Tribolium castaneum: one gene and its partner. The protein of the gene in region 2 purifies or fractionates together with the protein of the main gene of each other region. This does not show direct contact. Links are inferred from orthologs where the notes say so. Each region holds a gene or a part of one and is shown on either strand. Other genes may lie near its edges. The genes, in order: Exo70 and Sec10.

The links.
Region 1: the proteins of Sec10 (region 2) and Exo70 fractionate together in Homo sapiens (co-fractionation; 4 studies listed by BioGRID and IntAct, with this or other methods). This does not show direct contact. The link is inferred for Tribolium castaneum from reciprocal best matches to the Homo sapiens genes EXOC5 and EXOC7.

The regions. Positions count from the first base shown.
Region 1 is NC_087399.1:7,106,189-7,110,531, reverse strand, and holds the start of Exo70 (exocyst complex component 7), read right to left. Parts: upstream 2,884-4,343; 5' UTR 2,725-2,883; intron 1,771-2,724; exon of another isoform or gene 1,083-1,770; coding exon of another isoform or gene 781-1,082; intron 1-780. Other genes in the region: stet (uncharacterized protein LOC657740), read left to right, coding at 781-1,082; 26S proteasome non-ATPase regulatory subunit 2, read left to right, coding at 3,151-3,195, 3,247-3,303, 3,354-4,027, 4,071-4,206. UniProt on the Homo sapiens protein: Component of the exocyst complex involved in the docking of exocytic vesicles with fusion sites on the plasma membrane.
Region 2 is NC_087396.1:19,821,501-19,826,063, reverse strand, and holds the start of Sec10 (exocyst complex component 5), read right to left. Parts: upstream 3,032-4,563; 5' UTR 2,833-3,031; coding exon 2,800-2,832; intron 2,750-2,799; coding exon 2,625-2,749; intron 2,577-2,624; coding exon 2,459-2,576; intron 2,415-2,458; coding exon 2,217-2,414; intron 2,172-2,216; coding exon 2,107-2,171; intron 2,058-2,106; coding exon 1,874-2,057; intron 1,826-1,873; coding exon 1,608-1,825; intron 1,563-1,607; coding exon 1,452-1,562; intron 1,401-1,451; coding exon 1,305-1,400; intron 1,259-1,304; coding exon 1,099-1,258; intron 1,050-1,098; coding exon 814-1,049; intron 768-813; coding exon 681-767; intron 636-680; coding exon 530-635; intron 486-529; coding exon 329-485; intron 281-328; coding exon 36-280; 3' UTR 1-35. Other genes in the region: transmembrane protein 50A, read left to right, coding at 3,215-3,319, 3,369-3,636, 3,686-3,792; G patch domain-containing protein 11, read right to left, coding at 3,952-4,215, 4,262-4,563. UniProt on the Homo sapiens protein: Component of the exocyst complex involved in the docking of exocytic vesicles with fusion sites on the plasma membrane.

The DNA of each region.
Region 1 (4,343 bases), on a different chromosome or scaffold from region 2:
TATCAATAAAATCCTTGAATTTTTGATAATGCCACTTCATTACTTAAGCTGATTCTCTTCCTTCATTTTTTACATTTAGCAGCTTATAGTAGTAATCTCCCTTTCACTAAATCTGTAGCTAATTCTGTATTGTAGTTCTCTAGTGTCATAATTAATGGCTTAAAAAGTTCTGGTAGATTAAGAGCAACTAAAACACTATCCTTTATTTCACTGTCTATTGCCTTCAAGTGTTGGGCAATTTTCATTTCCTGATTTAAATAATCATTCATTCCCTTACTATCAGCGTCACGAATCAAAACTAATTTTTCTGTTAAAGTTGCCACTCTTGGGAAACCTTGATATTCATAAATTTTCTTCAGTCTATCCTAAACTTCTTTTTCAGTTTTCTATTCTCTAACTTCCGTAAATATATGTGACTTGACAAGAAACACAATTGCTGCCAAAGCCTTCTTCTCCAGCTTTTCATCCTTCTTTGTTCCATCCACAAAATCCATCAGTTCACAATTAATTAAATGAATTTCTACTGGATAGGTACTTCCAATCCATGTAGTTGCACTTTCGAAGTTTTTCGAAAAATGCAGGAACTCCTCAGTATCACTTTATGCACAAGTTTTGTTTGATAAATAACCAGTTGTACGCCTAATGTGTTGTAAAACTTTATTGTGTACAAAGAAAACGTTGCTACAATAAATTACAGGAGATCCTGATCCAAATTGTAACTTCTTTATTTTAGACACTACTATCACAACACCAAAATTCAACTGACAATTGTTATTTCAGCCTCCTGCGACGTGGGGTACGCCATCTATTCGCGGTATGCCGCCGAAGCGATGGGGCCGCCGGTGTCGTACGTGGCGCACCTGACGGGGGCCCTGGCGGGGCTCACCATCGGCCTGCTTGTCTTGAAGAATTTCGAGCAGAAGTTGCACGAGCAGCTGCTGTGGTGGGTGGCGCTGGGGGTGTACGCCGCCTGCACGATTTTCGCAATTCTTTTCAACGTCATGAACCCCACGGTGGAGGCGGTGGAGAATTTGGGGGACGGGGTCAACAGTCAGTATGTGTATAATAGGTTCGGGGTATAGCCCCCTTTGTATAGGTTACGGGAACTCTCGGAGATTTATTTATCAAAAGCACTGAAACGATATTATTGCCCACATAGCCATTCCAGACCCGTTTTACAATACTAATCCAAAAATAAATCTCGGAGAGGCCGCTCTGTATATAATTTTTTTTGTACATATTTATATTTATTTAATATTCTAGACCAAAGACTGAAATGAGTAAATTCGAATGATTTATTAAGGTTTCGTTGTGAGGAAATTATTGTCAAACAGCATTTATCAAGTTCCTAAAACGATTCAAAGCAGGAGTGAGCGCAAACCGACAATTCCATTATTCACTTGACAATAATTTCTGCTTTATTTCACTTTCAGTTCATTTTTTTCTGAGTGATATTATCAAACTAGTCATAAAATTATTTAAGTATAAGCCTACCAAAGAAAGTGCTAGTTAATTCTATTTACACAATAATGTATTCGAAGCCTTATAGGTAGACGATTTTTCAATGTATATCACAAAGAAATTGTATTTTTTTACACTCAGGTAGACCACTGTTCACTGATATATGTATTTGTAACGAAAAAAAAAAAAAATAGAACTGATGGGTATTTCTTTTATAATACCTTTATTCCATTTTTGTTTTGTTATTATTATCACACTGTTTTACAAAACGCCCAACTTCCAAAAATAGTAATAAATTATTCAATTGTGCGACGACTTTTACTGAACCCTTCCGAAGTTTTTATATACAGGATGTCCACCATGGGGATCTCAGTTATTGTAAGAGATACAAGTTTGGTGAAATTAGGGCTAAGTTGCGCATTTTTATGCTGAACAATTATGTGCAAGAAAATGTTGTCATTTTTAGTTTTTGAGCTATTGGAAGAAAACGGAAATTTGTCATTTCCGTTTCTATTTTTTCAAGCAAAAACCAAAAGTACTAGACGTTTTTAAGTAGGACCTTCTTCGGGAACTTTTTTACAAGGTCATCGTATTTTCCAAAGCGTTCTTGATGTCAGAGTTAAAAGTTGAGTGTTGTAACTCTGACATCAAGAACGCCTTGGAAAAGACGATGACAGATTTAGGTTTCTTGTAAAAAGTGCCTAAAGGATTTCCTACTTAAAAACATCTAGTTCTTTTAGTTTTTTTTCTTAAAAAAATAAAAACGAAAATTAGTAATTTTTTATTTTTCCCAATAATTCAAAAACCAAAAATGGCACACCAAATTTTCTTTCAGATACTTGTTCAGCATAACAACGTGCAACTTTGCCCTAATTTAACCGATCTCGTAACTCTTATCACAACTGAGATCCCCATAGTGGAGCTCGAAAAACGGACACCCTGTAGACGGACAACACAAGTGGGGATTTCTCAGGGAGGCACGTAAACATAGTAGAAGCATAAAAAAGTGAAAATTAGTTATAATAGTGATTTAATTCATTGGTTTGTTAATAAAAGCTGTCTTCTTTTAGTTAAAATTCAATTTTTATGACGTAATCATGTAATTGTAGGAGCAAAGTGGCCGTGGTAATTGCTATACTAGACGGCCCCGAGCTAATTGTTTACAAATAAAATTAAACAAACTCATAAACACATCAAAATGGGGACTTTACCCACATAAAAAATCTGGATTTTAAAAAGTTCTAAAGCGACATTCGGACTTACCGCCGTCCATTAATCGTAAAAACATCGGTAATTTGAGCAATTTCTTCAATTTCTGGACACCAACAAACACTAAATTGGGGCTATTTACCCAAAAGGGGCTTAAGACGCACTTATGAAACAAGCGGCAAAAACTAAATAAGGTTAGGGTACGTTACCAAACACTAACCTATTAGGCCAGAAGATGGCGCAAGCTTACGAATTAAAAAATATCTGCAAAAAAATTAAACCTTACGGCATAAATTAAGAAAAACAATCCGAATGACCTTTAGGACCGTCACAAGGCATATCAAACTTATCCATAATTTAATTTTCAATTTTTATTGAGCTTTTAGGCGGAAACGGAAACGCCAAAACGTCAAATTGAAATTTTTGCATGTCATTTGAAACGGTCGCTCCTTTTGCCCATTTTTGCAAAAATTCGCCGAAATGGCAGCTGCAGCAATCCGAAAACCGGTGATTCCCAAAGATGACGTAAGAAAATCCCCTATTTATTTAATACTTTAAACGGGGCCCAAATTTTAGTCGGACGATGATAAGGAATTACAAGTGGAGCTAAAGGGTCTCGTGGACCGAATTACGGTGAGTTTTTCCATCATCAAAATAATAAAAAACCACGTAAATATATACAGGGTGACGAATCGAAGCTAGTGAATGTGTCCCTCGACATGTTAAAGTACTTAATACGGACCTCAACCTCGTCCATGACGTCCGTCCCAAAGCCCCTCAAATACCTGGCCCCTTTTTACGGGGCCCTGCGCAACAAATGCGACTCGATGAAGGACCCCCTCCTGAAAAAAAATCTCTCCGATGTCGTCTCCGTCCTGTCCATGGGGGCTATCGACGGGAGCGTGAAACGCGACTTCGACTGTCTCAAGTACTGTCTCCAAGGCACGATGGAGAACATCGGCGATTGGGGGCATGAATACATCCGCCAGCTGGAGATCGAAATCGTCAAACAGTGGGTCATGTGCGAGAACAACTACAAGACTCTGAGCCCCCTTGTCAAGCAGATCATGAGGTTTAACTGCAGCCACCACGACGAGATACAAGGCTGCGACCTTTTAATGGAAATCAACCAGATGTACATGCTCTTCGATTACGTCACGAGGGAAAACTACAAGCCCATTTGCTTGTACCTAGCCTCCTGTGCAAAATATGTGGACGATCTCGAGAGCAAAAAAATACTGAAGCTTATTTCGCAGTTCTATTATCTTTTTCAGGAGCATTGTCGCTGTTTGGTCGTCGCGATTCAAATCAAAGACTCGGCTTTGATCGAGAAACTCTTCAATACGTGCACTGACAAGTAATCTAGTCGGCGTTTCAAACAATTTTTCACTCATTTTTAGGATCACACTGTATCAAATGGCCTTCATATGCGCCCGACACCTCTACCCAATCGAATTTAATCTCGACGATGACGACGTGAGGAGCATTCTCGAGAATAGTCACTTGAGCCACTATTTTTTAAGTTTTGCACGTGAGGTTAGTGACAATTTTTATTCATTTGGCTTAAATTTGCCATTTTCCGTCTTGTGATGTTGTATTTTGGGGTCAAAATGCGAAATTTCCGGAAGAAATTCAAATTTCCCGCCTTGTGTTTCGGCGCCAAATTCAAATTT
Region 2 (4,563 bases):
CTTTATTATTTAATCATTTAACAAATAATTCCTTATTACACTTTGAGAAAATTTTGTTTTTGTGTCTTGAAATCGCTCCGAAGCTGGATAAAGTTGTGCAAAACCGAGCGGTCGAGATTCACCAGAGAATCCTCTGAACACACTTGTTGCAAATTTTCTGGCTTCACTAATAATAAATTGCACAGCGCATGCAAAGTTTCGAACAACTCGGCCACAAGCGGACCTAAATGTTTAGTACATGATCGGTACTCATTTAAATCACAAATTGCGACCATTGCACCTTAAAAATCGTAATTAGCCAACACAAAACCATTTTTAATTGATTTACCCGCGGTGTTGAACTGAAACTGCAATAAATGATCGTAAATAACGCGATGTAATCGAATTCCCAGCTCTTGCAAAATGGCAGTAACGTTGTTACCGTCCAAATTGTCTTTGATCTCCTTAATTACATTACTTATGTATTGGGAAACTGCTTTGCACGCCTACAAATCGGAATTATTTTATGCAGAACGTGGAAGTGATTTACCGGAGAAGCGACCGTATCGAAGTCGTCAGTTTCTGGTTTAAAATCGGTTTTTTTCTGCTCTGATTGCAGGTAGACTTTTACCCAACTTCCCACAGCATTCAAAGTTCTAGAAAAATAATTAAAAAAGTAAATCATTACTTTTGGGTGTCACCTGTCCAGTCCGGTGTTAACTTTCCGTTCAATATCCTCCAAAATAAACTTTTTCTTTTGCATGCAATCGCTGTATTTTGGCGTATTTCTAAAAACAAATCTGAGATACGTTATACAATTTTGTAAGAAATTACATAATGAGAGGCACCGCTAAATCAGTGATTTGTTTCTCAAGCAAGTGCGTTATATTGTTGCTCTGGTGCACCACTGTGAAGAAATACAAAGTTGGAGGATTCTTGGACCCTTCTACCACAGGAATCGCCTGAAGCCCCAACTCCAGCGCATAATCTACGTGTTCAATTAGCAAAGAATTGAGCAAACGGTCTAAAATTTGACTGGCATTGGACGCCTTGTCTTCAGGCTTTGAAAGCTAAAAAATAAAACAGATTGTTTTTCATTCAGTTACACAAATTATGTACCAGCTGACAACGCTGGAACGCTTGTTTCGTGTCTTGCAAAATTGTAATTGCTAATTCCTCAGACAGGAATGTTTCGCCACCATAATTTTCAATCTGGGCTATGTTAATGTTGGCCCTTGTCCCAATTACGGCCTGGATGTCGCGTCTCAAGTCTTGGAACCTGTACAAATTTAGACAAAGGGAAAAACACGAAATAATAAAAATACCCGCCAGATTGGATCTGTTTCTTTTGGTGGTTTTTTGATTCGTAGTAACGTTGCAAATTGGCAGAACTGCGTTCTTTGAGACACTTTAGTTCTAATCTGCATTATGATTAATTAAAACAATTGGAACAAACCAGTACGGAAACTCACGCTATGTAATTATCGATGTATTTATTGAAAATGTTACTTGTTAGCTTATTTAAATAGTTTTTGTCGCTCCCCATGTTAAAAACGGATAAATCTTGCGATAACTGATTGGTTCTAAAATAAAAAGTGAGTCTGGTGGATCATTCAGAGTGTAATTACCTGTCATATAACTCGTACAAAGTTTTTAAATAATTGTAACTATCTAATTTCGAGGATAGTTTTGACGCGATGTACTCTTGCAGTTTCAAATGATACAAATTTAGGACAAATTTTGCCAATACTTGTTCCGGGTTATTAAATACTTTCTTAATAACATCGTAGTTTAGTTCACATAAGGGAAACAAACGCGAAAATACATCTTTACTCAACAAGCAACCCTAAAAAAATTGTTTCCACAAGAGGAATGATAATATGATAATATTTACAGCTTGACTCCGTTCAATGTAAGCATCAACGCACTGGGGGTAGCCTTTAAATTGTGATAAAACATTAGCGATTTCTTTCATTCTTTTGAAATCGTCCCTCCTTTGCGCATTTGAGAATTCTTCAATTAAAGTCCGCTCTGTCTCATCGTACTTTCTTTCAATTTTGCGCTTTAAGCCCTCAAATCTAAAACATGATATTGTTTGTTGTTACAATTATTGATCTAAATTTTTACTTTGGTGAGGGCAGGTCTTGTGAAATTAAATACAACTTTTGTATCACTTCTGCCGCTTCATCAATCTGCAAGAAATGTTGAACAAATGTTGATTTAAAAATTAAAAATACTTTTGACGAGTCGGTGAAGATTTCTGAAGTGAGAGGGCCAGTTTGTAAGAATTCATTCAAATGTGTCATTAGATTTTTTGCATCAACAACTCTTGCCCTAGGTCCGTTAACACTATCTAACTGGTCACCCAAGTGTAGGACTTTTGTCGCCACATGGTTAATTTTTCCGTCTAGCTCTTGAAACGTATCAATGGCTTGCTAAAATTGAGGATTGTATTTTGCAAACACAATTTAAAACCTACTTTATTTTGCCCCAATAAATCGTGGATTTTTTGAAAAAACAATGCTTCGTCTTCGCGTACGGCGGCTTCGAGCCTTTCACATTTCTTTTTTTGCCTTTCTTGGAGCAAAGTTAAGTCTCTACAAAAACGAACCCAGTTATGGGACTTACACAAGCCTAATTCTTACTTAATAGCTTGAACAAACGAGTCATGCAGCAATGTTGGATTAAAGTCCTCATCACCGTCATTTTTTGTTTCAGCTATTGTGCGCCAAGCTAATCTTTCAACAAATTCTTCAGCATCAAACGGTTCCTAAAGATTAGGGGGCGTTTATGCAAAGACTTACAAGTGGAGTTAAATACCTGCTCCAGTTCTTTCATATATTGTTGCATCATTTTGACGCGAAATTTTTTCCTTTAAACTGGAGGAGATATAAACATGAATTTATTTATTTTTGGCTTGACTTGACACCTGTCAGTTTGACGTCCAACCAATCTTAGGTTACAACAAAGTAGACCTTTGTTATTGGTGTTAAAACTACAATTTATGACAATTTCTGGTATATTTTGGGTGCGCGTTATCACACACGATTTTTTTTCTGGGTGGTTTCGACTTATTAATTAAAAATAATTAAAAAATAACTTTTAATCAGCTGACGTCCAGTGTCACCAAGCCCTCGAAACGTCAAACGCACAATAAAATCCCCAAGTCATTAGTTCATAATCACCAAAAAAATATCGTTTTTGTTTACATTTAAGGCCATTAAATCGGGAAAAAATGGGTATAGCTGACTGTTTTGAAAATATAAATATTCCGCCGTGTATTTGGTTCGAAGGGGGTGATAGGCGAAATGCGTACGCTTCAATGATCTCGGGGTTTTTGGTGAGCTTTTTTGTGCTCTACAACTGGACATGATTCATCCAAATTTTAGTTTTTCGTAGGCTGGTGGATAATAATCGATGCCGCAAGTGTATACCCAGGGACTGTCCTAGCAGGATACCACATGTGTGGGGTCGTGGGGGCCGTGTCTTTGATAATGATCAATTCCGTTTCAAACGCCCAAATGAGGGGCGACGCTTATGAGGGGGGCTGTTTGGGCCCCCGAGGCGCCAAAGTGTGGCTTTTTGTCGGTTTTGTAATGGGTTTTGCATCTGTGATTGCCTCTTGTGGAATATTATTTGCTGATTTCGTCAACAAGAGTAAGAGTTTTTGTAAAAAATTGCAAACTTTAATTGAGTTTTTTTACAGAGGTGCCTCACTATTGGCCGGGAGTCGCTATATTTTTGCAGAACGTGTTTATTTTTATCGCGTCACTCATATTCAAGTTTGGTAGATCTGAAGACATTTGGACATAGAAAGTAATTCACACTCATACTTTTATGTTGCAAATTTTACCCTTCATGAGCATAACAATTAATTTTTTATTAAGTGTAAAGTGTAAAAACTAGGTTGTAATATTGTGTAATTTATTATTTGCTAAATAAATAAAACATAAATTAAAAATCACAATTTATTTAATCGTCATCGTGATCGCTTCTGTTAGGACCTGGACAACTTGTACTTAAGTCATTTTCGTCAGTTGCGACAAATGCACAAAACATGCAATATAAATGCGTGTTTCTTAGATAATGAATTAGTTCGCTTAAATTTTCATCAGTAAAGTAGGAATCAAATTCTTCATTAAACTGTTCCTCTTCTTCCTCATCGTCTTGAACACCTCTCTTCTTCTTAATTGTTTCCCTCGTCCAATAAAACTCCTGAATTGGCTCATCAGTGTTCTAAAACAAGTAAATAACACACTTGACTCGTTAGCAACGTGTTCACCTTTCTTAAATCCAAATCTTCACAAGCTCTCTGCGCTTTAACAAAATCCTTACAGAGCAACTTCTGGGCTTGTTTATTTTTAATACTTGTATGAAACGCGTCCATTTTCTTTGCAAGAGTCTCCTCTTTGTGAACCTTCTTCCTGGTAACTTTTTCCTTAAAATGGCTTTCTAACCCAACCCCTGACTTGCCACTCCTTAGTTCTATTTTAATGGGCTCTGTTATGCCAGACTGCGATTTTCCCAAACCTTGTCCTTGCTTGAAACCCATTTTCTCCAACAATTTAAAGCCCTTGTTGTCAT